Ovis aries: one gene and its partners. The protein of the gene in region 2 interacts with the protein of the main gene of each other region in a biochemical or structural test. Links are inferred from orthologs where the notes say so. Each region holds a gene or a part of one and is shown on either strand. Other genes may lie near its edges. The genes, in order: KAT2A, histone H2B type 2-E, EP300, RNF20 and STK4.

Evidence for each region.
Region 1: of the proteins of histone H2B type 2-E (region 2) and KAT2A, one has a biochemical effect on the other in vitro, tested with the Homo sapiens proteins (2 studies listed by BioGRID). The link is inferred for Ovis aries from reciprocal best matches to the Homo sapiens genes H2BC21 and KAT2A.
Region 3: of the proteins of histone H2B type 2-E (region 2) and EP300, one has a biochemical effect on the other in vitro, tested with the Homo sapiens proteins (4 studies listed by BioGRID, with this or other methods). The link is inferred for Ovis aries from reciprocal best matches to the Homo sapiens genes H2BC21 and EP300.
Region 4: of the proteins of histone H2B type 2-E (region 2) and RNF20, one has a biochemical effect on the other in vitro, tested with the Homo sapiens proteins (3 studies listed by BioGRID). The link is inferred for Ovis aries from reciprocal best matches to the Homo sapiens genes H2BC21 and RNF20.
Region 5: of the proteins of histone H2B type 2-E (region 2) and STK4, one has a biochemical effect on the other in vitro, tested with the Homo sapiens proteins (2 studies listed by BioGRID). The link is inferred for Ovis aries from reciprocal best matches to the Homo sapiens genes H2BC21 and STK4.

Annotation. Positions count from the first base shown.
Region 1 is NC_056064.1:41,977,392-41,982,820, reverse strand, and holds the end of KAT2A (histone acetyltransferase KAT2A), read left to right. Parts: intron 1-30; coding exon 31-239; intron 240-420; coding exon 421-547; intron 548-1,873; coding exon 1,874-1,984; intron 1,985-2,287; coding exon 2,288-2,431; intron 2,432-2,665; coding exon 2,666-2,780; intron 2,781-2,863; coding exon 2,864-2,900; intron 2,901-2,986; coding exon 2,987-3,050; intron 3,051-3,184; coding exon 3,185-3,269; intron 3,270-3,376; coding exon 3,377-3,570; 3' UTR 3,571-4,153; downstream 4,154-5,429. Other genes in the region: ATP-dependent RNA helicase DHX58, read left to right, coding at 4,833-5,000, 5,217-5,418. UniProt on the Homo sapiens protein: Protein lysine acyltransferase that can act as a acetyltransferase, glutaryltransferase, succinyltransferase or malonyltransferase, depending on the context.
Region 2 is NC_056054.1:99,991,223-99,997,557, reverse strand, and holds histone H2B type 2-E, read left to right. Parts: upstream 1-2,710; 5' UTR 2,711-2,757; coding exon of another isoform or gene 2,758-3,150; 5' UTR 3,151-3,315; coding exon of another isoform or gene 3,316-3,705; 5' UTR 3,706-4,028; coding exon 4,029-4,409; 3' UTR 4,410-6,322; downstream 6,323-6,335. Other genes in the region: histone H2A type 2-B, read left to right, coding at 2,758-3,150; histone H2A type 2-C, read right to left, coding at 3,316-3,705. UniProt on the Homo sapiens protein: Core component of nucleosome. Nucleosomes wrap and compact DNA into chromatin, limiting DNA accessibility to the cellular machineries which require DNA as a template.
Region 3 is NC_056056.1:218,157,409-218,163,166, forward strand, and holds part of EP300 (histone acetyltransferase p300), read left to right. Parts: coding exon 1-13; intron 14-1,847; coding exon 1,848-1,904; intron 1,905-2,497; coding exon 2,498-2,575; intron 2,576-4,440; coding exon 4,441-4,508; intron 4,509-5,132; coding exon 5,133-5,283; intron 5,284-5,403; coding exon 5,404-5,550; intron 5,551-5,758. UniProt on the Homo sapiens protein: Functions as a histone acetyltransferase and regulates transcription via chromatin remodeling. Acetylates all four core histones in nucleosomes. Histone acetylation gives an epigenetic tag for transcriptional activation.
Region 4 is NC_056055.1:21,572,011-21,578,546, reverse strand, and holds the start of RNF20 (E3 ubiquitin-protein ligase BRE1A), read left to right. Parts: upstream 1-2,882; 5' UTR 2,883-3,001; intron 3,002-4,070; exon of another isoform or gene 4,071-4,078; 5' UTR 4,079-4,096; coding exon 4,097-4,225; intron 4,226-6,536. UniProt on the Homo sapiens protein: Component of the RNF20/40 E3 ubiquitin-protein ligase complex that mediates monoubiquitination of 'Lys-120' of histone H2B (H2BK120ub1).
Region 5 is NC_056066.1:73,332,346-73,338,103, forward strand, and holds part of STK4 (serine/threonine-protein kinase 4), read left to right. Parts: intron 1-2,192; coding exon 2,193-2,357; intron 2,358-4,541; coding exon 4,542-4,709; intron 4,710-5,758. UniProt on the Homo sapiens protein: Stress-activated, pro-apoptotic kinase which, following caspase-cleavage, enters the nucleus and induces chromatin condensation followed by internucleosomal DNA fragmentation.

The DNA of each region.
Region 1 (5,429 bases), on a different chromosome or scaffold from region 2:
TGGCTCATCACTCCCTGCTCTGGTTCCCAGACGAGCCTGCTGTCGGCCAACGCCGCCCGGGATGAGACTGCTCGCCTGGAAGAGCGCCGAGGCATCATTGAGTTCCACGTCATTGGCAACTCGCTCACACCCAAGGCCAATCGGCGGGTGTTGCTGTGGCTGGTGGGGCTACAGAACGTCTTCTCCCACCAGCTGCCGCGAATGCCCAAGGAGTACATTGCCCGCCTCGTCTTCGACCCGTAGGTCCCTGGGAGAGCCCAGGACACCCCCCACTGCTCCCTGGGCCTCTTCCTCCATCCCTGGGGAATTCTTGCTCCTTAGTTCCCAGCACTGTGTGCAGCTCAGGCCTCCGGGGTGGTGGGTTCCTGAGGAACATTCAGGGGACGGGTAAGGCCTGTGACCTGAGCTCTCTCCCCTCAGGAAGCACAAGACTCTGGCCTTGATCAAGGATGGGCGGGTCATTGGTGGGATTTGCTTCCGCATGTTTCCCACCCAGGGCTTCACGGAGATCGTCTTCTGTGCTGTCACCTCCAATGAGCAGGTCAAGGTGAGTCTGTGCTCGCCCCCAGTGTGGGTAGAGGTCAGGGAGCTCCTGGTCCCAGCTTCATCCCACCCCCTGCTTCCGAGTCTGGACCAGGTCAGAGCAGCACAGTAGTGACACAGCTGCCCCCAAGCCTTCTTTTAATGGCCCGACACTTCCTCACATCCCCACAAGGTGGCAGTTGTAATTTGATAACTGAATTAAGAAAACACCTGTCGACACAGGGTGCCCAAGAATCAGTAACACTTGTTTTCCGCTAGTTTTATGGAGATGCAACTGACATGTAGGACTGTGTAAGTTTAGGATGTACAGCCTGACGCTTCGACTTATATACATCATGAAACAACCACAGCGAACATCTATCATCTTATATAGGTACAAAATGAAAGGAGCAGAGAAAAAATGCTTTTTCCTTTGTGATGAGAACTCTGCAGATTTATAGTAACAGTTTTAAAGGGATCTGTGTTTCCTTCATCACAAGAGCATGTACATGCATCGGAGAGTTGATAATTTTTACAACAGTCCCGCTCTGGGTGGTCGTCCTGTCTTCTATCCTGTCACAACAGGCCGACTAGTAGGGTCCCCGGTTTGTCTTATCTGTTTTTTAAAATGGTGTGGCTACTTTATTTTTTATTTTTATTTTTTGGCTGCACTGTGAGGCTTGCCAGGTCTTAGTTCCCCAACTAGAATCAAACCCACACCCTTGGCAGTGAAAGCAAGGTATCCTAACCACTGGACCACCAGAAGATTCCATGATTGTCCCATTTTCCATAACTCAGATCTGCGTGGTGCCTCCGGTCCTAATGTTTGTGGATGACAGGGTGTCTCTTTGGGGTTCAGATGTCATGATGAGGGGGGCCCTTGTGATCCCCTCTCCCCTTTCCTCCAGTTCTGAGGCCCAGGGACTGGGAACCGTGGCCTGTGGACCACAGCTTCCCGGTTGGGTTTAGATCCAGGCTCTCCCTGCCATGGCTGGTCACCTGACCTGGACATATTTCCTGACATAGCTGAGTTTCAGTTTTTTCTTCTGTAAGATGGAGGTAATGATAGCTGTTTCATGGGTTAACTTGAGGATTGCTCTGTAAAGAACCAAGCGTCGCACCTGGCCTGGAGTAAGCGCTTAGAAACCCAGCATCCTTCGCTTTTCTGCCTATAAGCTCCCCTTCCTCTGCCGGTCGCCTTTCCTCCTGCCTGACTCGGATCCCCTGGCTGTCCCCACCTCCTTTCCAGTCGGCTCCGTCCTGTCCCCGCCCTCCTCTCCCCCCCTCCTGAGGCCGCTCTAGCTGTAGGCCCGCCTCCTCCCGCCTGATGAGCTCTGCCCCTCCCCTGCAGGGCTACGGCACTCACCTGATGAACCACCTGAAGGAGTATCACATCAAGCACAGCATCCTCTACTTCCTCACCTACGCCGACGAGTACGCCATCGGCTACTTCAAGAAGCAGGTGACTCTCACCTCTGTCTGCCCACTGACTGGGGCCCGGGGTCATTCTGTCTCGCCCCCGGTGCGGGTGGGCTTCATGTCCCCTGTTCCATCCAGCACCTGTAGGGAAGTCCTTCATGCCTGTCTTCCTCCCTCCTGCTGCTGCCCCAGGGAAGAGGCAGCTGGGAGAGCTGGGAAGTTCTCAGGGTGGGGCGCAGGGGGCGGGGGTGAATCCGGAAGGGCTGCCGGCCTGGAAATGTTCCAGGGACAAATTCAAGCTGGAAGAGCCTTGCTGATGGGTTGGTGGTAACTCTCCACTCCCTAGGGCTTCTCCAAGGACATCAAGGTGCCCAAGAGCCGCTACTTGGGCTACATCAAGGACTACGAGGGTGCGACACTGATGGAGTGTGAGCTGAACCCTCGAATCCCCTACACAGAGCTGTCCCACATCATCAAGAAGCAGAAGGAGGTGCGTATGCTCACGTGCGTGTCTCCATGGGGCTCTCGTGAACATGCGCTTGAGTGAACACGTGTGTGGGTATAGAGATGCGTATATACCTGCTGTGCACACATGAAGTGGGGCTGGCCAGGGTCTTGGTTCTTGCGCTGCCTCGAGGGGCAAGTGGGGGAGCCCTCCCTGCCTGCGGCCGGAGAGTCTGGTTGCTGGAGCTGGGTTGGCCTCTCAGACCCTTCCTTCGCTCAGATCATCAAGAAGCTGATTGAGCGCAAACAGGCCCAGATCCGAAAGGTCTATCCCGGGCTCAGCTGCTTCAAGGAGGGTGTGCGCCAGATCCCTGTGGAGAGCGTCCCTGGCATTCGTGAGCAAGGGTCTTGGCACTGGAGGGGGTGTGCTGCTCGGGGTGTGGATAGGCATTCTTAAGGGTGTTCTCCCATCTTGCAGGAGAGACAGGCTGGAAGCCGCTGGGGAAGGAGAAAGGGTGAGTGTTGTGTGGAGGGAGTGGACAGTGTGGGGCAAGGGCGGCAGAGGGCCCAGGAGCCTCAGACGCGGCCTCTCTCGCTCCAGGAAGGAGTTGAAGGACCCTGACCAGCTCTACACAACCCTCAAAAACCTGCTGGCCCAGATCAAGGTGGGGAGACCAGGCTCTCTTCTGGGGGTCCCTGTGCCAACGGCTGTGGCTTTCTGACCAAGGGTGAGGGGGTGGCAGTCCCGAGTTGGGCAGGGGCACAGTGGATCTGGATCCAGCTTGACTGTCCTCTGCAGTCCCACCCCAGTGCCTGGCCTTTCATGGAGCCCGTGAAGAAGTCGGAGGCCCCAGACTACTACGAGGTCATCCGCTTCCCCATCGGTGAGGACCCTTCCTTCTAACCCCTTCCTCCCACGCCTGCCCCAGCTCCGGCCCTCCATGGCCGGGCAGCCTCTCAAAGGTATGCCCTTTCCTCTCTCGCTGCCCAGACCTGAAGACCATGACAGAGAGGCTGCGCAGCCGCTACTATGTGACCCGGAAGCTCTTCGTGGCCGACCTGCAGCGGGTCATTGCCAACTGCCGCGAGTACAACCCCCCGGACAGCGAGTACTGCCGGTGCGCCAGCGCCCTGGAGAAGTTCTTCTACTTCAAGCTCAAGGAGGGCGGGCTCATTGACAAGTAGTCCAGCCTTGGGCCTCGGCCTCAACGTGGAATGTCTCCTCCTCCAGTTCTGATCTCATCCCTGGGGTGCCCCTGTGCCCAGGTCCCCCTCTGTCTGAGACACTCCAGCCTGGGACCCTCCAGCCCCTGATCCTACAGCCCTTTCTGGGCCCTGAGGCATCCCCAAGGCTGCAGCTCTGTCCCACCTTTCATCATGTCTGAGCTTGGGAATGGGTCTCCCTGCTCTGGGAGCCTCTAAGCATGGCTAGTGGCCAGAGGATAAACGCTACCCCGCCCTGGTCCCCCCCCCCGCCCCGCCCCTCTTCCTGATCTGATCCCCACTCTCCACACACACACTCACACACTCCCCACAAGCGATACAGCTTTGGAATCCTGGGCCTTGCTCAGATCACTGGTTCCTCAAGGGCAGGATCCCCAATTTTAGCTTGAGTAGGGGCATCAGAGCTTGGAAGCCCAAGCTGGACTGAAGGGGCCATGCCTCACCCGGCACTGCTCTGTTTGTCCCCTAGGGGTAGGGGGCATGGGGACCATTCATTTCCTGGCATTAATCCCTCCAAGGGAACAATAAAGTTTTGGTTTTGTTTTGTCTTGTGTGGTGGTTTCCTCAGTAAAATCCCCTGCTGACCCTGTTCCACCAATATCCCCTGCAAGCTGGGGCTGCCCTTCCCAGCAAGCCTCTGGCCCCTCCCGTTCCTGTCCCCCACCCCCCGCGCCCCGCCCCCGCCTTCTCCCTGCTGGCTGCTCCTGGGGGAGGGGCTGAGCAGGACCCAGGCTGCTGTCCCATTGGGTCAGCAGCATTTCTCTTCCCCTCACTGCCCACCCTCACCCTGCACCACCCCCCGGCCCCCGGCCCCCAGAAGCACAGGCTTTGTTTTTCTGAAGGGCCTGGAAGGGAGATTCCTAGATTGATCTCTGCTGGGCTGGCTCCTCCCCTCAGTTTCAGTTTCGATTTCCTTCTCTGCAGAGCCCAGCAGCATTTGGGCTGAGCCGGCAAGGCTGCAGGCGAGACAGACCCTGTCAGCATATCTGGGGCTGGCGTGGTCTGCTCCCACCCAGCTCAGGTTCCCGGTAGGTCCCAATGTTGCCCTGCCCCTTCTCCCTCGAGCGGGGGAGATGTTCCCACCCACCTCCACCCCACGCCCTGCACAAGGAGCTCCCCCAACCAGATGGAGCTGGCCAGGAAGGGGGAGTGGCTCTGACAGGGGCTGGGCCTGGGAGGGAGCCAGGAGGGTCTTTGGGTCTGAGCTCCCTGCCATTTCCAGGATGGAGCTGCGACCCTACCAGTGGGAGGTGATCATGCCCGCCCTGGAGGGGAAGAATATCATCATATGGCTGCCCACAGGCTCTGGGAAGACCAGGGCAGCTGCTTATGTGGCCAAGAGGCATTTAGAGACCGTGGACGGAGCCAAGGTGGTTGTATTGGTCAACAGGGTGAGTGTCCTGCCCTCCCCACACTGTGGCTTCTCAATTCCTCAGGTAGCCTCTCAGGAGCCTCCAGAACTCCAAAGTGGCTGTGACCATCTCTAAGTTTCCCTGTCTCTTCACCCATTCCAGAAGCCAGCTATGTGCTGAGGGGTTCACCTGGCTCCACCCCCATCCCCCAGACCCTCATCTAGCTTCCTCTCCCGTCTCATTCTCCACCTCCAGGTGCACTTGGTGACCCAGCATTATGAGGAGTTCAGCCGCATGCTGGACAGACGCTGGACCATCACAACCCTGAGCGGGGACATGGGGCCACGAGCTGGCTTTGGCCACATGGCCCGGAGGCACGACCTGCTCATCTGCACAGCTGAGCTGCTGCAGAAGGCACTGGCCAGCCTGGAAGAGGAGGAGCATGTGGAACTCAATGGTGAGGGTTGT
Region 2 (6,335 bases):
ATTGCCATTTCCTTCTCCAGGGGATCTTCCCGACCCAGGAATTGAACTGGCAGACGCTTTACTGTCTGAGCCACCAAACTCATGTCCATCTAGTCGGTGATGCCATCCAGCCATGTCATCCTCTGTCGTCCCCTTCTCCTCCTGCCCCCAATCCCTCCCAGCATCAGAGTCTTTTCCAATGAGTCAACTCTTTGCATGAGGTGGCCAAAGTACTGGACTTTCAGCTTTAGCATCATTCCTTCCAAAGAACACCCAGGACCGATCTCCTTTAGAATGGACTGGTTGGATCTCCTTGCAGTCCAAGGGACTCTCAAGAGTCTTCTCCAACACCACAGTTCAAAAGCATCAATTCTTTGGCGCTCAGCTTTCTTCACAGTCCAACTCTCACATCCATACATGACCACAGGAAAACCATAGCCTTGACTAGACGGACCTTTGTTGGCAAAGTAATGTCTCTGCTTTTCAATATGCTATCTAGGTTGGTCATAACTTTCCTTCCAAGGAGTAAGCATCTTTTAATTTCATGGCTGCAGTCACCATCTGCAGTGATTTTGGAGCCCAAAAAATTAAAGTCTGACACTGTTTCCACTGTTTCCCCATCTGCTAATAAACATTTTTTTTCATAAACAAATAAAACTATACTCTTAGAGAATTAGCATCTTCTTTTCTAAACTATTTCTCCAGCTTCTTCCCTGTTACAGAGGGAAGAAGCAAGGCTGGGCATAATGACTTCATAAAGCCCGTAATCTCCTTAGTGAAGCAATGGGCTTGGAGGGATGAAGAGCACAGACTTTGAGCGAGACTGACCTTGGTTCTAATCATGTGTTTGTAAGTGGCTGTGTGACCTTCAGCAAGTGCTTAAATTCCTCTGAGCCTTGGTTTCCTTATTTGTGAAACAGTTTCAGTTGGCCTTCGGTATCCACCGGTTCTGAATCTCACGATTCAACCAACTGTGGGTGGAAGATATTTGAAAAAAAAAAAAAAAATCCAGAAAGTTTCAAAAAGCAAAACTAGAATTTTCCCTGCTTTGGCAACTATGTACAGAGTTTTACATTTTATTTACAACTATTTACATGACATTTACATTGTATTAGGTATTAAATCGACCTGCTAAATCGACCCCATAGACGGCAGCCCACCAGGCTCCCTCGTCCCTGGGATTCTCCAGGCCAGAATACTAGAGTGGGTTGCCATTTCCTTCTCCAATGCATGAAAGTGAAAAGTGAAAGTGAAGTCGCTCAGTCGTGTCCGACTCTTCGCGACCCCATGGACTGTAGCATGCCAGGCCTCCCTGTCCATCGCCAGCTCCTGGAGTTTACTCAAACTCATGTCCATTGAGTCGGTGATACCATCCAACCATCTCATCCTCTGCAGTCCCTTTCTCCTCCCGCCTTCAACCTTTCCCAGCATCAGGGTCTTTTCCAATGAGTCAGTTCTTTGCATCAGGCGGCCGAAGTATTAGACTTTCAGCTTCAACATCAGTCCCTCCAATGAATACTCAGGAATATTCATGAATATATGCTGTAAGGTGCAGGAAACTGTAGATGTTAGCTCAGGTACCGGGCAGACTGTTGGAGCAATTCAGGGAAAGAACAAAGAGAAGGGAGCTGGCGGGGGGGGGGGGGGGGGGGGGGGGGGGGGGGGGGGGGGGGGGGGGGTGGGGGGGGGGGGGGGGGGGGGGAGTTGGGGGGGGGTGGTGGTGGTGGCAGGTGACTGGATGAGTTTGCTTTTGGATAGGTCGAGTTATAGGGACAGACAGGTTGAAGTATCCAGTTAACAGGTATACAGGCCTGAGCTTCTGCAGCAAATACTAGATGAAAGCACTGAATTGGGTACGACTTCGGGAAGAGTGAAGAATGAAGTGTGCGGAAAGGGCGAATACGGAGGCAGAGCCGAGCTTAACACTGGGATTTAAACACGGACAGGGGGAAAAGCAGCAGAATGAGGAAAGACGGAGGGCGACATTTTGAATGCCAAGGGAAAGACGCCTTCAAGTTGAAAGCGGTTTGGGACGCCTCCTAGAGGTCAAGAGGAGGATGACATACTATTCTGGGCTTCCCTGGTGGCTCAGACCGTAAGGAATCCACCTGCCTGCAATGCTGGAGACCCCGGATTCGATCTCTGGGTCGGGAAGATCCTCTGAGAAGGAAATGCCCTCGATTAAACCGGAGTCTGAGGAACAGACGGGTGGGGATGGGGCGAAGCCACACCGCAGGCAACAACTAAATTGAAAGAAAAGAAGAGGCCTCAGTAGTTTTGTATTTTTTAAGGTAGTCTGGCTTTGACGAGCCAGAAAAGGAGGAACTTAGTAATTTAAGGTTCCAAGGCCCTTGAGTGGGAGTAACTGCATCTGCTAAAGGCTCTCTGCAGCCCTTTAAAATCCTTTTTGGGAAACCGGAAAAAACCTACCACCCGTAACCTAGGAAAAAATTGCCGCTCAGTAAATAAAGCAAAACAGAAGAGCGTTTTGTTTGAAAGCCTTCACTTTAAAAACCCTGGCATGCAAATAAAGGGCTTTAATATGGCTCACAACGATTGGTAGGTACTTATAGAAGCCGTCATTTCCTCGTAGCCCAAGATGCAAACGAAGAGTCTGCTCTTCGCTTTCCTATTGGCTGTTCGATCGGACTCCGCTTTTAGCCAATCAAACCACTTCCCTTCACCCCTCCCGGTAGCTCTTATAAATTACATCAAATTGGTTACCCTTGCCATATCGTTCTCCTTGAAAAAGAAGCTGTAACTGCAGTTTTAGCAGTAATGTCAGGCCGCGGAAAGCAGGGAGGCAAAGCTCGGGCCAAGGCCAAGTCGCGCTCATCCCGCGCTGGCCTTCAGTTCCCTGTAGGGCGAGTGCACCGCCTGCTGCGCAAAGGGAACTACGCCGAAAGGGTGGGGGCCGGCGCACCGGTGTACTTGGCGGCAGTGCTGGAGTACCTGACCGCGGAAATCCTGGAGCTGGCGGGCAACGCCGCCCGAGACAACAAGAAGACGCGCATCATCCCTCGCCATTTGCAACTGGCCGTGAGAAATGATGAAGAGCTCAACAAGTTACTCGGGGGTGTCACTATTGCCCAGGGCGGTGTCTTACCCAATATCCAGGCAGTCTTATTGCCCAAAAAAACGGAGAGTCACAAGCCTGGCAAGAATAAGTAATTAAGAGGCTTGATACCATCCCCACTCACCCCAAAGGCTCTTTTAAGAGCCACCACCAAAGTGTCAAAATAAAGGGCTGATCACAAAATAGCGCATTAGCTCTTTTTTTGAAAACTTGGGTGGCTCTAAAAAGAGCCTTTGTTCTTTGGTTTACTTTGTAAGGCTTTATTTGCTTTTGGCTTTATGGCTTTCGGTTTTCTTTGGTAATAAAACGGCCTGGATGTTGGGCAAAACGCCGCCTTGCGCGATGGTAACCTTGCCTAACAGCTTGTTCAGCTCTTCGTCGTTGCGGATGGCCAGCTGCAGGTGACGAGGAATGATGCGCGTCTTTTTGTTGTCTCGCGCCGCGTTGCCGGCAAGCTCCAGGATCTCGGCCGTCAGATACTCCAGAACCGCCGCCATGTAGACGGGCGCGCCGGCCCCCACCCGCTCAGCGTAGTTGCCTTTGCGCAGCAGGCGATGCACTCGCCCTACCGGGAACTGCAAGCCTGCACGGGACGAACGCGACTTGGCCTTCGCCCGGGCCTTGCCTCCCTGCTTTCCGCGACCAGACATGACTAAAGATAACAGTAGTACCCTTAAAGATCAAAGCCCCTCGGCAAATGTTTAAGAAAGATCAGCAATTGGAAAGCCTTTATAAGTTTTCTGAGGGGTGGGGTCAGGAACGAGCTTTTCATTGGTCCCAAATTGGCTCCTGAAACAGCCAATAAGGTTAAGAGTCGGTGTTATTCTGTAGCTATTACTGATAACGTAAGGTCTCTCCACGGACCAATGGGAATGTAAGACTTTTGGAGCCTTAATTTGCATACGGTGGTTATAAATGGATCAGGCCCGCCCATTCTCATACCTCTTTTTTTGCCAAACGGCGTTGCTTCACAATGCCTGAGCCGGCAAAATCCGCTCCCGCGCCCAAGAAGGGCTCCAAGAAAGCCGTCACCAAAGCCCAAAAGAAAGACGGCAAGAAGCGCAAGCGCAGCCGCAAGGAGAGCTATTCCATCTACGTGTACAAGGTGCTGAAGCAGGTGCACCCAGACACCGGTATTTCGTCCAAGGCCATGGGCATCATGAACTCATTTGTCAACGACATCTTCGAGCGCATCGCGGGCGAAGCGTCGCGCTTGGCGCATTACAACAAGCGCTCAACCATCACGTCTCGGGAGATCCAGACGGCCGTGCGCCTGCTGCTGCCTGGCGAGCTGGCCAAGCATGCCGTGTCCGAGGGCACCAAGGCGGTCACCAAGTACACCAGCTCCAAGTGAGTCCCTGCTGGGACGCGGCGCTCGCACGAGTCGCAAAGCCGCTTGATTTTCCAAAGGCTCTTTTCAGAGCCACCCACCTAATCACCAGAAAAGAGCCTTGTTCACTTGTTTCTCCTCAGTTCCTCACAAAGTAAGTTACTCTAGTTGGCTAAAAGTAATAGAAGATGACACACGTAGCTTTTTAAGCCCTTATGACTTGAGATTCCTGGCGCGTGACTGGCTTTGCTTTTGAATCTAGGGCGCGTCTTAACCCTCACTGCTGCTTAGCTTTCGTATGAGTCAGTTCTAAATTAGGATACTGAGACTGCTCCTAGACTTGTGTCCTGGTGGCTCTGTTGGGTACGTGTCACCGGTGTTCCAAAACGAAGTGAGTGATTTCAGCTATCCACATTTAAGAAAGGACCCCAGGACACGACCAAGCCCGGGTCTTTCGAACACTGCATCACAGCCCTGAAGAATTGCGAGTTTGGCAGCTGCGTGGGTGCCGGATCACGAATTAGGCCCTTGCGATGTGGCTTCCTGTGGACACCAGCGGTTCGGGATACTTCATACTGAGCCCGCGCTGCCTGGTCTCAGCCTTTCCCTGATTGGACATGAATATTCAAACTCTCCCGCCGCTCCGGAATTCATAGGTTCTGGTTTGCGCCGCTCACTTTGGCGCTGTGAAATTCCTGTTATTTCTTGGTTTGTGGATCATTTTTGCTTTTAATTCTCTTTTCTCGGAATATTTCGGCGTCAAGTCACCGGAAGGCACTAGTCATTTTAGTCTGGTCTCAAACGTCACCTCTCAGACACCTTCGGGAAGTTGTGTCTCTCCTTCCTGCCTCTGGTCCCTCACTATTTTATTTTCTTCCTAGCAGCTGTCAGAAATTGTTTTGCTATTAATAGTTGGTTTTTTTTTTTTTTTCTTGTTTACCATTTTCCTCAAGACCTTAACGGAAACTTTATTGGTTTGGTTTTCCTCTATATCGTCCCCGCCAACCAGTGCTTGGCACACAGTGGACGGTTAAGTACTTACTGAATTAGTATTGAATTCATTTTTCTGTCCCTCTTCTTTTAAAAATAGCCTTCATGGATGGATGGATGGGTGCGGTTCATTTCCGTTAGATGTATGTGAAGACATGAAAATGGAAATGTTTTGGAGCTCCTTTCCCAAGTTGGCTATGGTCACCTCAGGGCAACAGCTGGGAGGAGGGCTGTATTTGTGCGTGTGTGCTAAGGAGGAGGTGGCAGTTTTAAGTCCTTCCTTTATGCTTTTCAGTTTGGTCTAATCTTTTGGATTTTCATTAAATTTAGAACATTGCTCACTGGAAGATCCTTTTCCTTTCTTCATTTATGACACCCTCCTTCCATCCTGATCATTTGTTCCCCATTGAGATGAACTTTTCATTTACATTCACAGTTTCATTTGCTGTTCAGGAGACCCTATAAAATAGACAAGGTTGGGGCTTCCCTGGTGGCTCTGGTAAAGAATCCGCCTGCCAGTGCAGAAGACACAGGTTCGATCCCTGATCCAAGGAATATCCCAGAGAGAGAAAAAAAAGTAGAGAATGTTAATATTTCTTTAAAAATGAGGTTGAGAGTGAGTGGTCCACTGGGCATGCAGCTAACATTGTCCACCTCTGTACCCTCAAATGCAAGGACGGTTGCATTTCAGCTTTATTTCATTGTAATTATGGAATATTGTATTTTTCTGTCCAAGCCTTGATTCTGCTGATAATGGTACTGATGGTCTGATCAGTTATTCAACTCTGCTTTTGGATAAGGGGTCCTGGAGTTGATTGCAGGGGTTTCATGAATCCAAATGGACTCCAGACATTATCAGAGACTGAATAAATCTTAATGTTTCTTACATATGTGTTTTCAAATGTATGTATATGCTATTGTTAATAAATTTACCAGTTAATTTAAAAGCTTGGCTGCATT
Region 3 (5,758 bases), on a different chromosome or scaffold from region 2:
CCCAACCTCAAACGTAAGTAACTATTATTTTAGAAAGTACTCTCTTTTCAGTTTGTTGTCAGGATCGTGCTCTAAGTGGTCTTAGATTTTGTTGTCCAGGATGGTATAGCCACAGGTAGCTATTTAAATACGAATTAAATAAGATTTAAAATTTGTAATTTCAGTTGCTCAGTAGACATTTATGGCTCGTGGCTGCCATTTTGGTCAGCATAGATGGAGAACATTTTGATCATAGCGGAAGTTCTCTCGGTACTGATTTGGGGGGGGTACAACAGTACTGGATGGTCATAGATTCCTTCTATAAGGAAATACCTTCTCCCAAAAAGTGAAAGTGTGGAGTGCAAGGTAACTTCATCATTAATTGTTTTGAGTTTGAGGAGAATTGAACAAATAACCACCATACAGCCTTCTCATAGAAGTTAACAATACCAAAATCCTTAGACTCATGTGTATCATAGTATCACTAAGGATTTAGGAGGTTGTGAGAATGAATTATTATAAAGAGACTTGGTTGGACTTCTGCAATCCACAAGCTCTTATGGTTCGGTAAATGCCAAGAAAATTTTTTAAACATTGCCTAGACTGCCTCTAATCTCTATAAGATTCAAGCTGTCAATTTTTCATGCTTTTAGGAAGAAAGAACTATTTGGTATCCTTTAAATATTCTTCAGCTTCTCTTCCGATTTAACCTACAATAAACAAACAGTTCAGAACATTTCCCATAGCAATTCAGAATTGTTATGTTACTAGTAAAAACAGGGCTTCTGAGAAAAACTTGGTGTCTTCAAATTGGATTCTGAAGTTGTCCTTTTCCTTCAGTCACCACTGACATATAAAATGGTGGGCTCTGGTACTGGTTCGGGTCCCCTTGAGCCTTGAGATTTTCTAACCCTTGGCTAACCAGGGAAGTCAGGTCTAGGTCGGTTTCCCTGATGCAAAAAAGGGAGGCACCCTTACCACAAGTTCTGTGCCATAGGACAGCAGGTCTCTGACTTTGAAGTGTGTAGGAACCCCTCTTGCAGTTCTGCAGTTGGCAGTGAGCCTGAGAGAGTGCGTTACTGACAAGTTCCCAGGTCCATCCAGGCTGATAGTCTTCCAAACACACTTTCGGATAGCAATACCTTAGGGCACGTAGCAATGAATCTGGAGCCTGTAACTAGGAGAAAACAGTTTCAATGGGGAAATCGCTTCATTTTTATGAGGAAGAATCACAGTAGTCAAAAGTTTGTTGTAGGTGGCCTCCTGTGTTTGTGAGACTATGAACAGAGTAGGAGGCTAGATTTCAGGATAGGAGGCCATGTGAAAATTTTTTAATGAAACCCCCCCCCTTTTTTTTTTTTTACTAATCCTGTCAGTAACCTGAACTATGTATTCTTAATGCTAAAATTTTTTATTAATATAAAAAGTTGCTTGACTGGACTGTCCTAAAAAATGCCTTTTTTTTTTTTTAAATAGTGGTTTAGCTCCCTCTGTACACACTGTCTTTCATACTGCTAGACTGAGCTGTCTAGAAACAGTAAACTAGTCAAAGGCTTAAATACCTAACACTAAGAGTAGTAGGCAAGATTTTAAAAGGAAAAGAAAAAAGTACAAATTCATGCTTTTAGATCTTACTGGGTTCTCCTGTCAGTGGGAACAGAGGTACTATAAAGTCATTTCCCAAAACATAGGCATGTAAACGTGCGTTTTGCGGGAGCTAAGAATGTACCAGCTGTATCCTTGATAGAGTCTTAGATTTAAATAATCTTAACAGGGTGGGGGTTTTTATCATTTGGTTATTAGAACAATAGTCAACTTGCTAATCTTCCTGTGTTGCTTTTTCTTATTGTATCCTCTTCTTTCCTTAGTACAATAAATAAAGAACAATTTTCAAAGAGAAAAAATGATACTCTGGATCCTGAACTGTAAGTAGTTCCCCTTGAGTAGTACACTTTCATTTTCCGTCTTGCTTTCATTCTTTTGGTTTGTGCAGCCAGTGTGGTGATGCTATTATTCTTGGGCTAAGTCTGTAGCCTACATCTAGGAGACAAGGTAGAAATGTTAAAAATCGAGGCTATGGTTTACATTTGCATTTCACTAACCCTCCCTAGTGTTTTGGTGCTCTTGTGAGGTGCCAGGCTGCCTCTGCTCAGTGCCGTTATTCCAGCCTTGTCCTGTGTGTTTTCCAACCGTTTAATAATCGCCTCCTTTATTGTGACACCTTTCAGAGGTACAGAAGTGTACTGGTACTAGACATTCCTGGAATGGACAGGATCGTGTCAGACTTGGAGGTTTAAACAGCAGTCGTCTTTTCTATCACTTTTTACTCCATAAAATGACTGAATTTAACTGCGTTTGAGATTCACTCTACCTGTTACACTAAAGAGCTTTTAAACACTGTTACTTCAGTTCTTTGGACATGATCTTGGCCATCTTTTGAATTGTCAGAAAACGAGAAATACCGGCACTTTTGATTTGGTTCAAGTTTTGGATTTAACTCGACGTTTTGCCTTTGCAGGTTTGTTGAGTGTACAGAGTGTGGGAGAAAGATGCATCAGATCTGTGTCCTTCATCATGAGATCATCTGGCCATCGGGGTGAGGCATCAGTATTTTCCCCAGACTTTAGCAAGTTTTTGTCATCTTTGCAATGACTGTATTTTATTGTCAAAATTACTGCCTCTTAGAATTATTCTCTGGATTGGGAAAAGGTCATTAAAATTCAGTTTTGGAACAGTAATCAACCTGGAATCCAGAACAGGCCTTCTCTTACTACAATGTGTTAGTCCATGTAGAGACACTTCTCTCTGCTGGTTCACTATTTCTAAATTCTTTGGTGGTTATTGTGCATCAAAAGTAAATATAGAGGATTTATCAATAGAGGTAACAGGAAATCTGTAGCACCTAGAAACTAGAAAGGAAATGTTAGACACAACTAAGTGTTAATCACTCGGTCATGTCCAACTCTCTGTGACCCCACGGACTGTAGCCCACTAGGCTCCCGTGTCCATGGGGTTTTCCAGGCAAGGATACTGGAGTGGGTTGCCATTTCCTTCTCCAGAATATCTTCCCAACCCAGGGATAGCACACGGCTCTCCCACATTGCAGGCAGACTCTACTGACCGAGCCACAGGAAAGCCCTGAAAGTGTTAGTTGTGTCAACTAAACTTGACAGATGTTGAGTGTTGCTAATATCCCAGAGGACAGACTAGATGATACCAGTAATGGAGAGCACCAAAACGACGACTTTGTTTCTGCCTCTGAGAGAACATTACAGTGAGATTGTATACTGAATAGTGGCCCTGGTTAGACTTGAATTATTTAAAGTCTTTTGGGCAGTTGGATAACAGGTAACATGGGTGTTCCCCACTGAAAGGCAGAGATACGTGAAAATGATGAGATACAGACTTCAGTGAACTAGATACGCTTGGGCCTCATGTTTTGTTTCTTGAGTATTCTCCACATATCTACCCAGGCTGCATATCATCAGTGCCTTTCACGGAAATAAGTGGATTTTTGTCCATTGTGACACTGCCAAGTGTTTACTGCCATGGCTACCTCTCTCCAGGAATGAGGCTGCTCCCAGCTCTGTTCAAGGGAAAGGTTGGGGAGGGGATGTCTGTGCATTAAGTGACTCTCATCAAGATGGGAGCTCTACTCTCTCCTCTGCTTTTTTCCTGGACTAACTTGATGCTAGTTTAGAGTTCGTGGGGGAAAAGGAGGCTAAATAACAAAATTTCCAGAAAAAAAAAAACACTAAGGAAAATTGTAGTAGGTAAGCTTGTCTTTTGATAGGTTTCTCTCTCTCTTTTTTTTTTTTTTTTTGCTTTTTTATTTTTTTAATTTTCAAACCTTTAATTCTTACATGTGTTCCCAAACATGAACCCCCCCTCCCACCTCCCTCCCATAACATCTCTGTGGGTCATCCCCATGCACCAGCCCCAAGCATAGGTTTCTCTTCTTAATTACAGAGTAGGCAAGGATCATGAGACTTGCAGTGATCCTTGCAACTGAAGGTCAGCCAGCTGGTTGATGAGTACTTATGTGTTGTCCAGTTTTTCTCAAAATTCTACTTATGCACACATCCTTATGTAATTTCAGGAACAAAGAGAATGTACATATAAAATCTATTCATGCTGCTTTCAAAATGTCCCTTTTTATAGTCCCACTGGTAACATATACACTTCTGCTAATGTGATTGACTAAAAAATAAAATCTCTGCTTTAATCTGTGATTCTTCATCTTTGCACATGTAAACTAGTTTATATTCTCTTTGTATCTTTTACCTATTTATCTTTTTTCTCTTAATGTTTTCTGAAAGCTCTTTGTATATTGGTTGTATTTCTCCCAGGTTGTTTTTTTGTTTATTTTCAACCTTACGCATACATAAGATAGATTCTGTAGAGTGCGTTATTTGAAATGCTCCTTTAAGTTGTTAAACAAAGTCTCGGTTTACATTTTAGATTTGTCTGTGATGGTTGTTTAAAGAAGACTGCACGAACTAGAAAAGAAAATAAATTTTCTGCTAAAAGTAAGTTCCTTTCTTACAGGTAAATTATGGGAAAACTTTGCTTGAAACATCATTAAAAATTAACATCCAGAAAGAATTATTTTGTTTCAACATTATTTAAAATATTTAACCAAACTAAACAACAAATAATTTTTCCATGATGTACTTGAAGTTCTACTGTAGTATCCTTTTTGGTGTGAAGTTACTTATACCTAATAATGTGTAAAAAAGCGCAGATGTATTTTTCTTATTCCAACACATTTCCTGACAGAGGCCAGCATTGCCATCCCGTGAGTGATTCCCTCAGTTTTGTGGAGGGGCTGCATTTAGCCCTATGTGATCTTTTCACTTGGTGGGTGGCAGTAGTTTTAGTTCTGGAGATAGATGCCTGTGCAGTTTTTTGCTGTTCTGTGTTGTTGTTTAGTCGCTAAGTTGAGTCCATCTCTTTGCGACCCCTTGGGCTGCAGCATGCCAGGCTCCCCTGTACTCCACTATCTCCAGAGTCTGCTCACATTGATGGCCATTGAGTCAGTGATAATCTTGCTAGTGTTGAAAAAGCAGAAGTGAGATACGGTATTGAAATTTGACTGGTAGTAATAAATGTGCACCTTGGCTACTCCTGAACTTGTCACTTGTAAATCCTAGGACTGCCATCTACCAGGCTTGGGACATTTCTGGAGAATCGTGTGAATGAGTTTCTGAGGCGACAGAATCACCCTGAGTCAGGAGAGGTCACTGTTCGAGTAGTTCATGCTTCTGACAAAACTGTGGAAGTCAAACCAGGCATGAAAGCAAGGTATGTAGTAATTTCCCCCTTTCTTATCTGTGGATCCACAGTTGCTCACACATAGTTACTGTTGATGATTCTAATCTGAATGAAATGTTGTACTTCTTCCCTCCACTATGAATTGTATAGATTTGTAGATAGTGGAGAGATGGCAGAATCCTTTCCATATCGAACCAAAGCCCTCTTTGCCTTCGAAGAAATCGATGGTGTTGACTTGTGCTTCTTTGGTATGCACGTTCAGGAGTATGGCTCTGACTGCCCTCCACCCAACCAGAGGTAGGACTTTACTGTGGCTACTTTCTAATTTGTGTGGAAGTTTGAAATTACAGTCAGGTGAACAAGCGTAATGGATAAGAAAATGTTTGATGTGCTTTTTTTGGAAATGTAAGTTCTCAAGTGTGTAGTATAGAAGTGAAACCAAAAAAAAAAAAGAAAATACTGCTCTTTCATGTTCATAATAACAGGGAAAGAGATATGAATGGCA
Region 4 (6,536 bases), on a different chromosome or scaffold from region 2:
TACGATTGTGGGCTGGTAGCTTGTGAACATGTAGTAGATGATCAGAAACTGGAAATGTGGTTAATGAAAGAGGTCTTGGCTATCTTCCCTTTCATCTATTCCATTTTCTCTAGGGTGAAGCCACCTCTTTGAATAAGGACAGGCTATTGGGAAGGTGTCAGATGACTGGAGCTCTTGGGAAAGATAGATCTCACCAATAGCTGGAGAATCTGGTTATCTACATGGTAAGAATTAAAAGGTTCTATAAAGGTCTTCTGTCTTCTCATTCTCCAACATTCAGAATGTCTCCAACATTCTGAAGTGTGGGTGGAATAGGGGTGTCTCGAGTTGACCTGGCACCATTTCCCTGTTAAAAGAATTAGAGGCCCAAAGTGGTGTTACTTGTGCTAAAAGGAAGACTTAATACTTGACCTTATGGCAGTCACAATCCTCTCCAAGAAGGTAATTCTAACTGGTCAGTGTGAATTTTGCTGTCAGCACCAATGAGGTAAACCTTTCCATCCTTGGAAGGAAGATGAAGTAAACTGGCACAAAGATCACTTCATCCACTATGGACAGGCTACCTAAGTTTGAAATAATCTTTGTCTTTGACTTCCTGATCTTACCTTTAAAAATCTCTTTCTATAGCCTTTTGGAGCTCCCCTCTACTTGCTAAACAGGATGCTGCCCAATTCATGAATTACTCAATAAAGCTAATTAGATATTTTAATATTTACTCAGCTGGAGCAACATCCCTGAGATTCTTCTAGTTTTCCCATCTCTGTGTTGATTTCATTATCAAGCCTGGTAACAAGAAAGCTCCAACAGTTTCAGGCCTCACAATAAATTCAGAAGATAAGTAAACTGCTTCAGTCCTATTACTCCAAGCAATTCAGCCCGATTAAACTATCCACTGTTAAGAGTAGAACTTTGGGTTTGGGAATGGGACTTACTATTTGAATTAAGACAATCCTTGAAGAGGGAAGTGAAGTCAGCTTCCTTCAAGACATATGGAATGAAGGGGTCTAACTGGATATAAATAATCATATGAATAAAATCCTGGTTGTGTTCTATTCAGGTGAGAGAGGGGAAGTGGATGCTGAGTAGGCAACCAACAACATTCTCTTAGACCAGGAATTGATTTAGCACAATACAACACACACTGATAACACTCAAATGAAATTCAACTAGTGTCAGGCAATCAGTAACCAACAGTGGGGATCACAGCAGACAGGAATAAAATAACCACTCAGCTCTAGGCCATGTGCCCATGCAAAAATATAAATCTAGTGTTGCCAGACCTTCAACATTTTCAAGAGAAGTTGGTAATCTATCTATCTATATATTTTTTGGCCATGCCATGTGACATATGGGAACTTAGTCCCCTGATTAGGGATCGAACGCCATATAGCCTGCATTGGAAGCATGGAGTCTTAACCACTGGTCCACCAGAGAAGTCCTAAAATATCTTAAAAGGCAGTCAATAATGTCCAAAATAAACAAAGCATACTTGTCGGCCAAGTACAGCCTGTGACTTTCAACTTTACAAACTTTGGGCTAGAATCAGTGCATGCCATTCAGTGGTTCTGTGCATGCAAGATTTGCCAAGAGCAAAGAAGTCAAAGGAAGGAGGTCAGAGAGAGTCATTTCATACAATGCTTTCCCTGACAGGTCCCCAAACATGGTTCTCAGGCTTCTGCTTCACCCAAAGAGTTCATTTGGAGCCAGTTGCCTCTTTACCGCTGGGCAAAGTGTTCTAGTATCAGGAAACATGAACGCTTGTTTCCCACTGTTTACATTCTGACTTTACTGGGTAGTTTTTTATACCTCTGTGAGGCATACAGCTTTTCATCAATAAATTAGTTTGATTACCTTCCTATCATTAAAACACATTGTTTAATTGAGTGGAAAATAGCAGTTTGTTATTAACTAAAAAATCAATGCTTAATTAGCTTAAAATAGACGAGTGTTAAGATCAGAATCAACTTATTGATTTATGTTTATCTATTCCCTGGTCAATTTCTTGTTGAAAAGATACACAAAGATAGTAACTGTCCATCCCGTTTGCACATTAGAATCCAGTGGGGGTGGGGGAGGGTTGGGAAAATTTTTTTTTTTTTATAAAATGTGGATGCCCAGGCCCTACACAAGAGGGACCAAAACTCCCCAAGTGATTTTAATGTGTAGACAGAGCTGTCATACATTTCCCTGAAATAGCCACAACCTTCTAAACTCACCGAATCTCTTGGGTTTTCTCCAGAACTTTTCATTTCAGCAAAAAGGGGCTCACAGTAATTTTTCCGAGGTGTCTGAAACTTAGTCCTTTCCCCTGGAGATTGACGGCGCCATTAGCCAATCGCCAGTCTGAGCAGAACCAATAATAGGTAACAGAACAATAGGCACTGTAAACAAAAGGTACTCAGTTAAAAAAAAAAGGAGGGGGGACGCTTAAGGGCTTCCCTGGTGGCTCAGCTGGTAAAGAATCCGCCTGCAGTGCGGGAGACTCTGGTTCGATGTCCTGGAGAAGGGAACGGCTATCCACTCCAGTATTTTGGCCTGGAGAATTCCATGGACTGTATAGTTCATGGGGTCACAAAGGGTCGAACACGACTGAGCAATTTTCACTATTCACAGTAAAAAAAAAAAAGAAAGAAAGAAAAACAGGTCGCAGTAGCAATGGTTAACAAACGGGAAAAAAATCTGGGACGTTTCCTCTGACGTCAGCGAGGCCTCTACAAAGCGGCCGCCGGGTGCCCAAGAGCTGCTAGACCGCACTTACTTCCGGAAGCGGGGCGCCCTCGATGCGTGTCACTTCCGCCCGGTTGAGTCTTGTCCTTCTCGCTGCCAGATTGAAGCTACTTCCTCCTTTCTTTCCCTTCTTCCTCCCCTTGGCCCCGCCTCCCGGAAGCTTCGCTGGATCTTCACTTGTGGGTTAGGGGTGAGAGGTGGGAGGGCTACGCGGACCTTGGTGAATAACTGCCCCGCGTTCCACTCCCCGGCGGCGCAAGTTGGAAGAACTCAGGTTAGATCTCGGCCAAGGGCGGGACGGGACTCAGCGGGCAACGGGTATCCCCACCCTCTTCCGCTCCAAGGCCTCCCTCTCCCGGGCCTGTAATTGGCCTCTCCGAAGGCTGGGGTCCTTGGCCCCTCTGGAGTCGGATTGAGGCCATTGTCCTCCTCCTCTCTCTCCAGGCGAGGTCCCACTCAGGTTGCTGCCACCGATATCCTTCTCCTGGAGCTTCAGTTGGAAGCGGAGTTGTGTGTCGTCTCGGTGATGGCAGGGCTGATACCTTCAGTAGCAAAGTGCTTTAGCATCTATTCCGCTTCTTTTGAGCTCCGAAACCTTGGGAGGCGAGTAGGGCAGAGACAGTATGTGGTCACTTGCATTGTGCATATCAAAAATTCCTTTCCAAGGCAGCACGGCTCTCTAAGAGTTAGTACTGGGATTCACACGCAGATCTAGCTTCTCTAGGGTGACACAAATTCGTGGGGAGAGCGTTTAGAAATAGGGAAACTGCAAATATAAAAAGGAGAGTTAGCATTGCTGAGTGCATGCTTCGTGTTCGGCCTTATGCTAAAGTCTTTCTGTACTTATTCATTCCTTATGAGGAGCATAGGAAGCATATACTGTTGTTATTTCTGCTTTAGGAAATTGAGGCTCAGAGATGATATATGGCTTGTTCAGTGTTAATAAAGTAGACATCTCCCAGGTCTCTTCCAGCTCTCTGATTCTCCCAACACTGTATAATTAACTGATTTTCTGTATTTCTAAATTAAACTATACTTTCAGATGTTGGCATTTCAGGAAATGAGATGCCTGAAAATTTTCTAAGTTTCTTCATCCTTTGCCTGTTATCTTGTATTTTAGTAGCATCCTATTTAGAACTTTGTAGTTCTGTAAATTCAGCTGCGACTCTTACTTCACAATTTACTTTTCTCTTTCCAAGAGGAACCTGAGGATCAGGTTGCTAAGTGTGAAATTAATGGACCCGGGTTAAAGGATTGACAGGAAAAGTTGCTAGTTTTTACATCATAGATCGACTCTAGTTGCTCTCCTTGCCTATCTTACCTAAGATTTTTTTTCTCTCCAGGAAAACAGTTATCATCTTGTGCCACGATGTCAGGAATTGGAAATAAAAGAGCAGCTGGAGAGCCTGGCACATCTGTGCCTCCAGAGAAGAAGACAGCTGTTGAAGATTCAGGGACCACAGTGGAAACAATTAAACTTGGGGGTGTCTCTTCAACGGTATGTGGAAATAATGCTATGAGAGTGTGCTTTTCTTCTGTCAGTTGCAACCTAGAAGTAATAATTATGGAAGCCTTTTGGAGTAAGGGAAGTTGATTTGAAAAGAAGAGGGAGATAAAACAGCCAAAAGTAGATGAAATGATGTGTTGCTCATTTCTGAAAAAGAAATATAATGACACTTGATCTTTGTTTTTAAAAGTATATTCATATTCTTTGAAGAGTCTGGTGCCAGATTCAGCATTGATTGTAGTTATTTAGCAGTGGGAAGCTATACACTGATTTTTCATTCATTGGGAACTAAGGGGCCAGGTACTAAGAGGCAGTGTAGCAAAATCAATCATTGAGAGAGTGCCTTCTTATTTCCTTGTCTGTAAAATGTAATCATAGTATCTACCTCATTGGGGTTTTGAGAGGAGGAAATGAAAGGGTTCCTGTTAAGGAACGTTACTTTTTAACATGGTAAGTACTCAGTATATGTGCTCTATTAATAGTTTTTATTGGGCCAGATATTGTGTCTATAATGGTGAGTAAAATAGATATCTTCCTTATTGTTATGGAGTTGTCAATTTTTTTAGACAATTATACACCAAAAACTTATAGCAATGTTATATGTCCATTAGACACCATAATAAACTCACTGTAATAGGTAAGGAGTCTGTATTTTGGAACTTAACCATAGGGATATGGTGTAAAAATGCTTTACATTTGTATAGCCTACAAAACCATATCTACTTTTTGAAATTGAGGATCAGAGAGTAATAGGAACATTCAAGAGTAAATTATTGATGAAGCATTGTTTCTGGGTTTGCTGTCTGGGATTCATCAGCCTCCTGTTGCCAGCAGGTGATTTTGTCCTGGCACTGTCTCACATCATGCATCCGAGGGACATTTTTTCATTCAATAAACATAAATATTTGTTGAGCATCTGTTATTTGCCAGACACTGTGCTTTATACTAAGGACAGCTCCTGGACTTCAGTTTGTAGGTTGGCACTGAGAAAAGAACAGACTGTTATGATAGAGTGAAAAATGGGCTCTTCCCAGAGATAACTACATATGTGAAGGGATGCACAAAACACGCATCCCAGTTTGGACTTTATCCAGAAGGCAGTAAGGAGCCACTGGAAGGTTTTAAGCAGGGAAGTAACATGCTCTGACTTAGGTTTTGAAAAAAGATTGTAAGGGAGCTAAGTTTATAAGAAGGAGTTCAGTTAACAAAATTGTTCCCTCATTCCTTGTCTTTCTCCTCCCTCCTATTCTTCCTCTCTAAGGGTGGGGAGCTGGGGCAGGTATCCACTGATCCTGCCCCAGCTGGTTGACAGTTGCCCTTGAAGGCAATAACTTCTCTTCTGCACTTCAAGGTTTCTGTGGTAAACCAGCTGAGATTGTGGAACAAAAAACTTTGAGACTGCATGGTATGCTTCAAGTGGGAACACTGGTGGTGTGACTGGAGCTGTCCACCAGAGCTGTGCTGAAGTCTGGCATAGGATGAAAAAGTGTCTGCTATATGTAGAAGACTGTTGCAATAATCTTGATGAAGGATCACAGTGGCTCAGGCCATTGTGAAGATAGTGTCAACAAGATTTGTTCGTGGATTGGATGAAGGGTATGAAAGAAAGGAGGCAAGATGAGCCCAGGATTTTAGAAGTATGGAGTTTTCACAAGCTGAGCTAGGGAGGTGTATGAAAGGAGCAGATTTGGGGGAGCTGTGGGGGAGCAGTCATAAGTTTGATATTGGACTAAAAGTCTGAAGTATTTATTAGACCTATGAGTGGACAGGTAGTTGGATGAGGTGATCTGCAGCCTGTGGAGAGGTCTCGGCTAAAGCTGAACATTTCTGAAGCATTGTAGGTGGAATTTAAATCCATGAGACTATAGGCTTTCCTGTAAGGGACAAGCATAGATAAAGAAGTCTGAGAACCGGGCCCTGGAGCAGCAACACTTCATGTCAAGGAGATGAGAAGAGGCTGACCAAAGAGGGGCCGCTGAGGTAGGAGGAGAAGAGGGAGGGCGGGATCCCAGAGGCCAAAGGGAGAAAGAGTTTCAAGGAGGAGTTGATCAGGGGCTCCTGATGGGTTGAGAAAGCGGAGGACTGAGACTTTAGATTAGTAATAGAAATTACACTGGAGACTCGACAAGCACCGCATTGGTGGAATGGTGGCAACGGCAGCCTGATTACAGTGAGCTTAAGAGAATGTGTGAGGAGAAAATTAGGGGAAAGAGGTAGAGATGTTGCTTTGGAGGAGTGTTGATGTAAAGTAGAACCAGGAAAATGGGGCCTCAGCCCAAGGGAAATCGGGGGTTGAGGGAAG
Region 5 (5,758 bases), on a different chromosome or scaffold from region 2:
CCTGCCGGCTTTTCTCCAGTCGCAGCAAGGGGGGGCTACTTTCTAGTTGCAGTGCACGAGCGTCTCTTTGCGGTAGCTTTTCTTGTTGCGGAGCACGGGCTCTAAGGCGCAGGGGCTGTGGTGGTTTCGGCTCTCATGCTCTAGAGCACAGGCTCAGTAGTTGTGGAGGGTGGACTTGGTTGCCCCATGGCATGTGGGATCTTCTGGATCAGGAATTGATCCTGTGTCTCGTGCATTGGCGGGCAGATTTTCCACCACTGAGCCACCAGGAAAGCTCAGCAATGAATTCTGAGTGTTTAGAGTTGGTTGGGTTTTCTCCTTCTACCCAAGTGTTCACAGGTTAACTTCCACTAAATCCTCCTCATCAGATTCCTCTCTGTGAAAGATAGTTTGCTGTTACTGTGATGGCTGGGAGAAAAGCTAGGAGTCATGATTTCTAGTTGCGGTTCAGTTGCGTAAACTCTTTGTTTATTCATTAGGTAAGTATTTCTAGAACACTGATCTAGGCCTTTGGGATCCAGTAGTCAGTAGAACAATGTCCCTGCTCTTGTAGAAGTGCATTTTCTAGTTATTAAACCCCATGGATGCTTCCATGCCTTAATGTATCGTTTGATTTTTGTGACACTCTTGAAAAAAGGTGATTTGCCTATTTTTCTAGATTGAGAAACTGAGATTCAGAGACATTACTAGATAACTTGCTTAAGTCATAATGCAGAAGTAGAGCCAAGGCTAAAGACTAGATCTTTCTAAACCCAAATCACGTATTTTTTGCACCACTGCTTATTCTCTTCTAAATGTGACTTGTTTGTCATGAGGGGGACTGATTCAGAGTCTGTTGATTGAGTTTGTTTAGAACTGGGCTAGGATCAGCACAGAGTTAGCATTGGACTGATCAGGTGTTCTGTGTCAGTCTCCTGCATTTTTGCTTACATTTATTCATCATCATTTAACAGATATTTTTTTCAGGACCTGCTATGTGCCAGGAGACTCTCTTGGTGGTGGAATTCAGTAGTAACCTAATCAAAGGCATTTTAAAATGGAGTTCACGTGTGCAATAGGGAAGATGTCACATGAATAAGTATACAGAGTATGTATAGTATGTGAGATGGTGATAATGTTGCATTAAGCTATAAGTAGGATAAGGGGATAGAGAATGATCTAGGAGTGGAAGGAGCTAGCGAAAGCCTCTCTGTTCCTAATGAGGTAATGTTTGAGCAGAGACAGTGACATAAGGAACCATCTCATCCAGAAATCTGGTTAAAGGGCACTGCAAGCAGAGAGAACAGATAAATGGGCCCCAGAAGTGGGAGTGTGTTTAGAGTTTTTGAGGAACAGCAGGGAAGCCTACATGGCTGAAACAGGATGAAGAGGTAGAAAGTGGTAGAAGATGAAGGTAGCTGGGAGCCAGATAAGGTGAGGCCTTCGTGAGAACTGGCTCTCATTCTGAGTGACTTAGGAAGGATTTTGAGCAGATATTTAGCAGAATCTCAGTTGCAACATGTGTGATCTAGTTCCCTGACCAGGGATCGAACCCAGGCTCCCTGTGTTGGGAGAGCAGAGTCTTATGGACTGAACCACCAGGGAAGTCCCTGACTTACATTTTAAAAGGTTCGTTATGGCTGCTGTGTGGAATATACATTATATAAGGTTAAGGGCAGAAGCAGCCAGACAAGTTAGGAGATTATTAGAACAATTCAGGCGAGGCATGTTGGTGGCTTGAATCAGGGTGAACCCAGAGGATATAATTGCATATAGTTTGAAGATAGAGAAGAGTCAAGGATGACTTCAAGATTTTTGACCGGAACAGCTAGAAGAATTAAATGGCCTTTTACTGAGAGAGAGAAGACCGTGGGAAGAATAGAGTAGGTGGGTGGTATGGAAAGGGGTAGGGTGGTGGTAAAAATAAAGAATTTGATTTTGCCATGTTGTGCTTATGATGCTTGTTAGGTATTCAGCTGGAGGTGTGGTGTGGGAAGATACATAAATCTGATATTTGGGGAGAGATCTGGCTTGGAAATATAACTTTGGGAGTGGTCAGCATAGCAATGGTACTATAAGCTGTCAAATGCTATTTTACACATTGAATGAGATCTTATTTATATTCTAGGAGAAGAGTTTGGATCGAAATTTTTTTCTCCTTTTTCAAATGTGCTGATGTAAACTAATAGTATTTTAATTTCTCATATTTTCAGTTAACAGAAGATGAAATAGCTACAATATTACAGTCAACACTTAAGGGACTGGAGTATCTTCATTTTATGAGAAAAATACACCGAGATATCAAAGCAGGAAATATTTTGCTCAATACAGAAGGTCACGCAAAACTTGCAGATTTTGGGGTAGCAGGTCAACTTACAGTAAGTGAAAGTGTTACTTGCGTTGGTAACTTTCAGGTCTTTCTTGAGAACTGTTCTTTTTATTTATTTATTTTAAAATGTAATATTTAATATAATTGTGTTTAAAAAAATTAAAGAATGTGCCAATAGGTTACAAATGAGCTGGTAGGTTATTTTCGATCCTTTCCTGGGGCTCAGGTCCCATAGTTTAACTCTGTTTAGCTTGAAAAAAATAAAAGCTAAAACAAGAAATGATAGAGTAGACGTTTAAATTCTTTTGGTCTACGTCATCGTATTTACAAAAGGAATAAAAATTAAATCTAATCGGCTTTCCTTGGATAAGACATAACGTCATCTCATTCAGCCTCTAGGTAGCAGTTGGCAGCTGCTTTACTGAGAGCGTTCTCCTCATTTGGTTCCAAAACACAGGCTCTTGATTTTCCTCCTACCTCAGTAGTGCATGGCAATGAAAAACATTATGCTTTCAAAACAGGAAGGCTAAAATTATCTGATTTTGTAAAATATATGAGATGTGTGAAATATGTGTAGAAAACAGAGTTCTAGATAGATGTATACAAAAATTTGCAGCAATGTCATATATCAGGTTTCTTGGGTGATAGAAAGCTACGTCCATATATAGTTTGTTTAGAGCTTTATCATGTAGGTTTTTTATTTTTAAAAAATTTAAATGGAAAACAATTAAACATTGCTTCGATGTTATTAAAAAAAAACCAACAACCTCAGGAACTTATTCCATATCATGATTTGTGGGCCCTTCAAAAGATTTTGTTGTTAACACATAAGTAAACAATACCAAACAGTATTATCTAAATTACAATCTTTATTGAAAAGAAAAATTCTTCTGGTGCTGTGTAAAAGATATTATAAATTTAAAATATCAGTTGTTTTTTAGTAATTGACGGTTTTCACAGAAATAGAAAATAACAGTCTTGAAATTCATATGGAGCTAGAAAAGGCCCCATATATCCAAACCAGTCCTGAGAAAGAAGAACAAAGCTGGAGGCTTCATACTTCCTGATTTCAAACTATGTTACAAAGCTAAAGTGATCAACACAGTATAGTATTGGCATAAAAATACACACACAGACCAATGGAATGGAATCAGGAACCCAGAAATAAACCCATGCTTATCCAGTCAGTTAATATTTGACAAGGGAGCTAAGAGTGCTCCATGAGGAAAAGACAGTCTCTAATAAATGTTCTTGGGAAAATCTGATACTCACATGCAGAAGAGTAAAACTCGACCTGTTTCTTACACCACTCACAAAAATTAACTCAAAATGGATTAAAATAAATGTAAGGTCTGAAACCCGAAAACTCCTAGAAGAAAACATAGGGGAAAAGCTCCTTGACATTGGTCTTGGCAATGATTTTTTGGATATGATACTAAACGCACAAGCAATAAAAACAAGAATAAACAGTGGGACTTCATTTAAATTTTGGTTGGGATTGAATTGAATTGTGTTGAGGTTGTGTTGAATCATAAATCAATTTGAAAAATACTCCCATCTTCATGATGTCATGTTTTAAAAGTCCTTTTCTGCTCCAACCTTATATAACTATTCATCTGTACTTTCCTTGAGTGCTTTTTGGATTTTGGTCTTTACATTTAAAATTTTAACCTATTTGAACTTATTTTGCTGAAAGTATAAGTTAGGAATTCAAGTGTATAGTTTTACAAATAAATAGACAGATGCCCCTTTTCCAGCCTTTCTATTATTATTATTTTTACAATACTTGTGCATCTATCTTGGGATACTTATACATAGGATACATTTCTAGAAATAGATTTCAATCAAAGGATATGGACATTTAAAGTTAGTAAATATTGCTGAATTGCCTACTAAAACATTGTACCAACTTGTGTTCCTTTATCATTGTATTTTGATACCTGATTTTTTCTATGCTATTATCCATATGAGTTGTTAGTAATCTTTTTAATTTTTGTCAGTCTCATTTTGGTGTTTCATTAACTGGTTGATAGTTATTTCTGTGTTTTAATAATTGATTGAGAATCTTTTATGTTTCAATGTCATTTGAATTTGTTTTGTGACTGACTGACTTGCTCATGTTTGAGTACGGTTTGTGTATGTATTTCAAGCCCATGACAATCACTATTGTTAGAAGGGACTCTTTCTCAACAGTTTCAGTGGTTAATGTTGATCTCTCTCCTTTCTGTTTCAGGATACCATGGCCAAGCGAAATACAGTGATAGGAACACCTTTTTGGATGGCTCCAGAAGTGATCCAGGAAATTGGGTACAACTGTGTAGCAGACATCTGGTCATTGGGAATAACAGCCATAGAAATGGCTGAAGGAAAGCCTCCATATGCTGATATCCATCCAATGAGGGTAAGGAAATGGACAGAAAACCAGTGGGATGGTCAGTTACTGGTGATAATGAGAAACTGAGTTAAATGAGTTTCTTGGTTAGGTACCAAACAGTAAATGAATTAATTGTAAATAATTGATAAGTGTCAGTGTAGACTTCAGATGATATACTTCCACTAGTTGTAATCACTAATTAAGTCAAGTGTAATCCACCCCTGTTCATTCTAGAAGCTGTGTATTGATATCTCTCTGGCAGGACTTGATTGGTTTGACTTGTGCAGTGTATGTTTTTAGTAATTCGAGCACTCACATATTAAAAAATTTTAATTTATTTTTAAATTTTTGACCGTGTTCCACAGCATGTGGAATATTAGTTCCCTAACAAGGGAATGAACCCACACCCCCTGCGCTGGAAGCACAGAGTCTAATTCACTGGACCACCAGGAAAGTCCCCGAGTGCTCACGTTTTAACATAACAACATTAATTGGAGCTGCGAAACAGTCCTCTCCTTTATACAGGGCATGCGCTTTGCGTGCCCTCCGCGGCTCCCTGTTCGCCCGTATCAGTCATAATGTATTGCCGTGTTTTCTCTGTTTTTCTTATACTAGCCTTAAGAGGAAAGCAGAGTATTTTCAACTCATATCACTAACACTCAGCCTGATTCATTTGTTGTCTTCTTCCTGCCTGGCCTGGGTAGGGATTTGCATGTGTGATTTCTAGAGGCTCTGTGCTCCCTGACCTCCATCCAGTTCTGGAGTGTGAAAAGCCCACACGTGTCTCCATTGACACTCCTTCAGTGTTTCTGCATTAAGCATTTTCCTGACTTTCCCCACCCCCAGAACACCTCATCACAGCACTGTTGCAAGACCTTGACCCCTGCCTTCCTCAGAGGCTCCAGAGTCTTTTCCATACCACCCAACTCAGCCCCTCCTCTTCTCTTATTAAGCAGTCCTTCTGTTAATAGACTTAACAGTTTTGTTTGTTTTTTTTTAAGCTATGCACATGCCCAAAGGTAAGCACCTCTCTTTTTTGAGGGACAGAAATGGAGAAGGATGGGAAGATTTACTGG